Linked DNA regions of Rattus norvegicus. The protein of the gene in region 2 interacts with the protein of the main gene of each other region in a pairwise test. Links are inferred from orthologs where the notes say so. Each region holds a gene or a part of one and is shown on either strand. Other genes may lie near its edges.

Region 1 (4,251 bases), on a different chromosome or scaffold from region 2:
AGTTGCTAGAAGGGCAAGAGGCCAAGGGTTAAAAGAGATCAACATACTCACTGGTTTGATTCGGAGCTGACTATCAACCACTTCAAGAATGGCATGCCTTCTGGATACTCTTTTATCTGTTATCTACAAGGGGAAAAAGATGTCAAATAGAGCCGCTTCCTGAAAAATAAACGAACCCTTAGCAATGCGTATGAGACGAGCAGGTCAGACATTACATATATTATTAACTCATAACTGCATGTCAAATAACTGCGCTCATTTAACAGATGACACAGTGGTGAAGAGGGGAGACCTACCGACATCATGGAAGAGTAAATGACACCCAGAAAAGCCTACAGTCTATGCAGCCCCAAACCCTCCAGTTCCCATACATGAAACATTCCTAGACAGGATTCCTACTAATGAATCTACCAAACAAGAGAAATAACATACAATATGTACTGTTAGGAAACATTTCAAATATAAAAATTCAGCCTGTCTTAAACTACGTGGTAAATCCGAAGGATGTGACCATAAGGGTAGACAGAGGCTGAAAAGTTTTTCTGTTCTGGGACCACGTGTGGCAGTTAAAAAAAAAAAAAAAGGCAGGAGGAAAACAACCTCTATGTCTTCGATATGATCACTTCCTGTTTTGGGTTAGTAATGCTCAATTCACAATCACTCACCCACAACGATGTTCCGAATTGCTTATATTTTAAATGCTGGAAACTATCGTCCTTCCTACCTCACAGCAGCAACTACTAATCATTTTACATATTTGGATCCTGAAAGCCCAGAGGATGCAGGTAACTTGGGCAGTCACTCTCAGAATATGCAGTGTTCAAGATCCTTACGAATAAAAACAGAGGGTATATGTGAGAAAACAGTCACATGACTAGACCCATGTAAGGTCATTCATATAGAAAAACGGTCCCTCTGACAGTCCATCTTTTGTACACTTCCTTCCTTTTGTACACTATCCACATAAACAATAACAGATCTTTTAGATCTATCTTTTAAGTATGCCTAACACTAGGAAGAAAAGGATATCTTGAATAATACAAAAGTATAGTGTGACCTCTGGTGGACACATGGTTTATTTCATTACAAACATCATCTCTTGACCAAAAATAAAAAATAAAAAATAAATAGAAAGTGGTTTCGTTGGGTACATATGTGCCTGTAAACCCGGCTCAGAGAAATGAGGCAGGAAAAATTTGAGTCCAAGGGGAGCTTGGGCTACGTAGTGAGATCCTCTCTTTAAAGACAAATATATTTAAAATAACCTAAAGTCTAACATTCCAACACATCCCACAAGAATCAACAGCTAGAGCAAAACATATCAACATCTAAAGCCCAATCCGGAGGTGGAGATTACAAAACACTTTAGCGACGATGCACAAGAAAGACAGAAACGCCAATCTGACAGTCTATGTTGGAGCACAAAACTCATATGATAATGGGGAAAGAAGAGAAAGAAACCAGGAAACAGGGCAGCAAGAAAACAGAAAATACCGCTCAGGTGGGAAATACACACAGATTTTTAAAACAGAAATTCTTTTAATTCTTACATTTTTATTTTTTGTTATATATGCATACCTGTGTGTCAGGATAGGCATGTATGTACAGTGCCCAGAGAGGCAGAATTACAAGCATTTGTGAATTGCCTGACATAGCTGCTGGGAACTCAATCCTCTGTAAGAAGTTCCAGACTCTTAATGGCTAACCCATCTCTCCCTTGTGATATTTTAACTAGATCGCCAGGTTTTCTTGAGTGGCCTTTGTAAATGCTATGTCTTATGGCAACGCGAATATAATTTCATAGTGCAAACTGGAAATGTTCTGGTTCCTACTCTTCCCAAAGAAGGTAAAGAATATATTATACCTTAGTGACCAGTTTAAACTCCAACTTCCTCATTTCAACGAGGCTAATAGAAAGCATCTAAGTAGTAAATCTAAAGTATCTCTTTAGAATAATGACTGCTTCACTACCCAGACAACTTAACGATTGCTTCTGATATCACCAAAAGGAATATTACTATTATTGGTAAGGCCCATCGGCCCCACAAAAGAGGCCAGGGAATAAAAGAAGTTAGCTTAGGGGAGGTCACTGGCCATCAACCTTCTCTGTGATGGGCCATACGGTACTGTAAATAGGGTAAGCTTTGTAGGTCAACATGTGACACGTTAACCTTTAAAGTACTATTCGTCTTTAAATACTTAATAGCGTTTTTGTTTATTTGGTCTTTTTACATTCTACATCTTATAACCCTAAGCTCAACTTGGATTTGGCCCCAGTTTGCCAGCTGGATAGGATAATGATGTTAACTCTTTCCGTACGTTTTCCAGGCACCAAAAAGAAATGTCGGTGACTTGACTAACGTTGCTTGAAAACCTACTGCCCCAAACCTATAAAGTCTTGACAAGCAGAGTCAAGGTGTGGAGTTCCCAAGGACAGGAGACAGAGACAGCCTCAGCCGAACAAACTCTGGCTGCCCACGCCCAGGAGTACCTCCCACACTTACTCCCAGCAGCGGCCCGCGGCCTATCACAGTCTGCCCCGGCCCCACGGGCACGCGGGGACCGCCGTCCAGAGGATGCAGAAAGAACTCCGAAGACATGGTGGTAAAATCAGATTCCTTCGCCTGGAGATACCTCGTAGCCACCTCCCTCAGACACGCCGCGCAAGTCCCAAAGGGGTGTGAGACCCGAGGCTCCTTTTCTAGTGAGTGAACTTCTTCCCTTTCCGGAATCCCTACTTCTTGAGAGCTTGTGATTCGTGCAGGAATTACCTGTCAGCTCACCGCCAAACTACAGCTTAAAACTGTAACTCACACCCACAATCTTCCAGCGCTTCCTCCCACAAGACTCATGGAACTCTGGGTCTTGTAGTCTCTAACAACTCCCTTCCGCTCCTTTCCGGGATGCAGTCATCATAGGAAAAACTACCAATCCCGAAAGGCAATGCGTGCATCTCTGCGCAGGGGTGTGGGGGTGGAACTATAATAGTTATGAGGTCTAAGCCTGAGTGTTTACATCTTTTTTGTTTGTTTTATTTCATATGTGAGTGCTCTGTATGCTTTCCCATGCCAGAAGAGGGTATCAGATTCCCATTATAGATGGTTGTAAGCCACCGTGTGGTTGCTGGGAATTGAACTCAGGACTTCTGGAAGAAGCAGCCAGTGAGTGCTCTTAACCCACTGAGGCATCTCACCAGCCCTGGCCTGAGTGTTTAAATAGCCACAGTCGGGGTTGGGGATTTAGCTCAGTGGTAGAGTGCTTGCCTAGGAAGCTCAAGGCCCTGGGTTCGGTCCCCAGCTCCGGAAAAAAATAAATAAATAAATAAATAAATAGCCACAGTGCTGGCCTGGTGGCCCTGTGACTTCAACAGGATGATGTTCTTTTCCCAGTGGAGTATGGTGTGTGTATGTGTTTCTTCTCCTTTCCTTCCATAAGGAAACGGCTTCAGCTAAATTAGGCTTTAATGATAGGATTGTCCTCCCTACCCCAAGGAGTATGTCTGGATTTAGACTTTTAGGGTTCAGCCTCGAGGGTCATTAACTCTCCTGTGCAAGAGCCCCATGCTCAATTGAGTCTTCTCTTCTCAAAGGCAGAAGCCTGCCTTAGGCACGTGGCCCATGGGGCCGGAGGATCTTCCTTCTCTGTAGAGGAGGCCTGTTCTCTGGCTGGGATCTGTAGCGGGCCTCTTTCCCTTTGGTGGAGGCCTGGATTGGGGGAAGCAGTCTATCTGGAGTTGGGGAGTTGGCACAAACCTTCGGGCGGAGGAGGAGGGCAGAGGTGGTCTTTTCTATGGAGAAGTCAGTTGCTAAGCTCAGGGCTTCCAGCCACAGGGAACTTTCTCTTTGGAAGAAGCCTGGCCCAGAGTCTGGCACTGCTCTGTTAAGATTTTTTCCTTTCTTGTGACTGAGAACAGACTCTGCAAGGCCTTCAGGGTTTCTCTTCCATATTGAGGCCTGCACAGCATGACTCTGCGGAAGGAGGTCATCCTGTCATGGGGCTGGAGTCTGATCACCTAATGCCTCCATGGGGCAACAAGGTCATCTCTTCCCCCAAGAGACCACCTTGTCACCAGTCTGGCAGAAATGAAGTTAAAAAGTCATTGTGACCCTCGTTTTGACTCTCAGAGCAGTGGGCCCTAAGAGACTAGAATTTTCCTCAGTGATCCCATGCTGGATGAAAAGCCAAAAGCCAGACCTATCAAAATGAGAGACGTTTCCCCCAGAGAGATTTCACAGACCTATCAACTTGTCA
Region 2 (3,647 bases):
CTTCTCAGGAACTTGCCATGCATTATCACAAAATAACCAAAAGTGTTTAAAATAAATATCTGTTGAATAGAAAATATCATTGTTCTTAATTTGACCAGTTCTACTTTGCAATATGAGAAGAAGCAGGCGCACTTATAAGGGCATTTAATGTCATCTGACTGAGCTTGGACCACAGAAAAGAACATAAGTGATACTAAACTGAATGTGTCACTTCAAACCAACCTATTTTAAGCTATTATGGGAATAATCTCAACAGAATAAAAAACATGTATTGACAGTGAATAGAAATATATATTTTGTAAATGAAATTACAAGAGTCAGTCATTCTATATTATTTTCCCACAATATATTTGAAAATAATAATTTTAGTTATTTCTTGAAATACTTCTCAGATTGATAAATCTCCTGTACTATTGAGTTTAAAAGATTGTTTTAAAATCATTTAAAAATTAGATTTAACTAAAAACAAAACAAGCAAACAAAACAGACAAACAAGAACCAATTCCTTAATTACTATCAATGAACCTGATAAAGTTCCCTTTCTTATGGTGTGGATCTCATATGATTAATAAACAAAAGGCAAAAGTGAATTTAATGTTAATTTAATTTAGGGAGGCTGTAAAGAGAGTGAACACAAACTTTTAAGCTAGCTGCTCCTTAGTCAGAATTGGTGCAGAAACTGAGCCATGTAGCAGATTATGTGGGTCTAGAAAGCACACAATCTTTAAAAGCTCAGACACAAAGCTAGTTCTGCTCTACTGTTTTTAAGTAGGACAATGTAAATCATGATTCCTTAATTATATGTATTACCACACTGAACTATGTTGTTTTAGAATGTCATATATAAAAGGCTGGAGAGAAGACTTAAGGGCTAAAAGTACCAGCTGCTCTTCCAAAGGACCCAGGTTCAATTACAAGTACCCACGTGGCAGGCAGCTCCCAATAGCCTACAATCCCAGTTCCAGGGGAACTGACACATATGCAGGCAAGGCACCAACACAAGTTAAAAAATTATTAAAATTTTTTAAAATAAGATAAAATTTCAAATATACTAGAAGAAAGAAAATAAATCAATTATTAAATAGGCAAAGATAAACTTAATATTTTCTTTCTAAAACTCTGTATTTTCCCAAACTTAATTTGAGAAAGCCAGGCTGCAATGGTCTAATACTCTTGTTCATTCGTGTAATTAACTATACAGTACTTAAAGTGTTTTAAATAGTGATGAGTAAATACATTTCCTAGTGTTTACTTTGCAGTGTTGAAAGAAATATGTCATCAACTTTAACTCTGAAACATTGTGAATGGTGAGAGGGCGTAGTAGGTAAAAGTGCTTGCTAACAAGGCGGACAGTCTGAGGCTATGACCATCACACATGGGACATGGCACACACAGCCATGGCCACACGACATGCATGCCCACACATGTACACAGACACAGACACACACACAGACAACACCCTCACAGAAACACTTCTTATACATATGATTTCCTTTATAAAAATTGAAGCATACTAACAAGGATCCCAAGCAATTTCTTGGTATTTATTTCTGAGTTGTTCCAGGACCTGCTACTGAAATGTGAAACAAAATGTATCAATGAAAACAAACGTGGAAGGGCTACTCACAGAAACATCTTTCAGTTCTTTCTCCAGGGAGAAATGCTGAGTGTCCTTGGAAAAGATGAACTTGTATGCACCAGCTGCTCCCGACTCTGGCACCAGTGCCCGTCTCAGCTCATCCATGTATTTTTCCTGCTCCATAGCCATGTCATCAGCTTCCTGTGCAATCTCCGATTCAGAAACTATGGGAAAGATTAATTAAGGAGATGAAATCAAAAGGTTCTATTAGAAAATATGGATTTAACTGTTACAACTACTTAACCAATATAACAGAACTTTGAAGAAATAAAATAAAATGTTTCCCAGTAGTTTTTTGCAGATACATTTAGTGCTGTTTATCTTTTTCCTCCCTCTCTTGTAACACATTCCCCTCTTCCCTAGGTAAGCACCCAAACTTCCCCCCTTTGCCCATTGGAAGCCCCTGTGTCCACTCCATCTCTTGAGCTCACTGTCTTCGTCTCTAATCCCCTCTGCTTTCCAGCTTCTGCAGTTATACCAGACTATGTACTCAGAATTAGGAACTGTGTGTGTGTGTGTGTGTGTGTGTGTGTGTGTTACAGATTTATGCCACGTGGGTAATAGTTCCTCTATGCAGGAATAACAGCTTACCTAACAAAAACTCCAGTGTCACAAAAGGGAAACCATCATGCTCTTGGTCAAGAGTTCTAGAGATCCTCCCAAAGTATGAGATATCCCAATGTCCTTAGTTGCAGTCCTACAATTTCCAAGTGAGATGCTATTGCATAACTTCTAATGTAGGACTGGAAGAACTGAACCAGTCCTGACATGGAGGCTTTTTCTCGGAACTAATGCCATTTCCCTAAATCAATATAGCTTCTAACTCTGTATTAAGTGCCTTATCTCCAAAGATAAATATAGTTCTCAGCTCTCATCAAAGAAACCTTGTTTGTAGTAGGCAGAGGCGTACTACGAAGATCCACAATCAGTAATACTGCAAAGAATGAGTGACTGTAGGGTCCACAGCCCCAGTTGATACATGTCCAACATACCCGTCCTCAGGAAATACCAGGACAAAAAATTGGAAAGACAGAGATGAATTCATGAGGAAAATACTTCAAAATATAGGCTTAACAGGAAATTTCTGAGTAGGGCTGCAATAGTTCAAGACCTAACTGGGAGAACTACAAAAGGAGTACACATAATTACAGAGCTTCTGCACTAAAAAACTGTACAGAAAAATTGGGATAATGAGAGAAAGCATTTGCAAGCAATTTATCTCAGGGGAATTAGTATCCTTAAAATATAAAGGCTAAGAAAAACCAACTTTGACATAATAACCTAATCAATGTACAAATGAACTGAATAGTACTCAAATAAATTGAGAGAAAATGATCAATATCCTCCTAACTCAACGGGATAATTAAAACCAAAGCGACAATTAAACTCCATCCCACAGTCAGAATGGCTCTATTTAAGAAAAGAAAAACGACACAAGTTGGTAAAGATGCAGTAAACCTTTACTTAGCATGTATATGCTGAGGATCAACTGGAGACAGGAGGTTACTGACAATAACAACAACAGCAACAACAACAACCATACAGGCCATAAGAAAAGAGGGCTATGGATTGGAGAGCATCATGGAAACTTAGTCAGAGGTAGTTGCGGAAAAGATGACCCTGTATAAACTTAAACTTATAAACTGTATAAAAAGAAACTTTTAAACATCACTCATAGGGGTGTAAAGCAGTGCATCTCCACTTCCCCCCAAAACTGCAAACAGAATAGATCATTCTAAAGCACTCTTAGGGTAAATACCCAAATGCATCAGTCAGTATAAAATAGGGACAGGTTCATATCCAGTAGTTACTATTCACAATAGACAGAAGAATCTGCCTGACTGCCTATCAGTGAATGAGTAGATTAAAAAAGTATGGTAAAGGTATACAATACAATAAAAGGAATAAAACAGGAGAGCAAACAATTAAGAGAAATAAGCTAAACTTTGGAAAAAAACTGCATGTTTTCTGTTATATGTGAAATCTAGATTTGAAAAATGTGTGCGGA

The links.
Region 1: the proteins of Xrcc4 (region 2) and Aplf interact in binary tests that used the Homo sapiens proteins (3 or more experiments, as listed by UniProt). The link is inferred for Rattus norvegicus from reciprocal best matches to the Homo sapiens genes XRCC4 and APLF.

Annotation. Positions count from the first base shown.
Region 1 is NC_086022.1:121,677,123-121,681,373, forward strand, and holds the start of Aplf (aprataxin and PNK-like factor), read right to left. Parts: upstream 2,811-4,251; 5' UTR 2,601-2,810; coding exon 2,505-2,600; intron 124-2,504; coding exon 52-123; intron 1-51. UniProt on the Homo sapiens protein: Histone chaperone involved in single-strand and double-strand DNA break repair.
Region 2 is NC_086020.1:22,905,167-22,908,813, forward strand, and holds part of Xrcc4 (DNA repair protein XRCC4), read right to left. Parts: intron 1,804-3,647; coding exon 1,628-1,803; intron 1-1,627.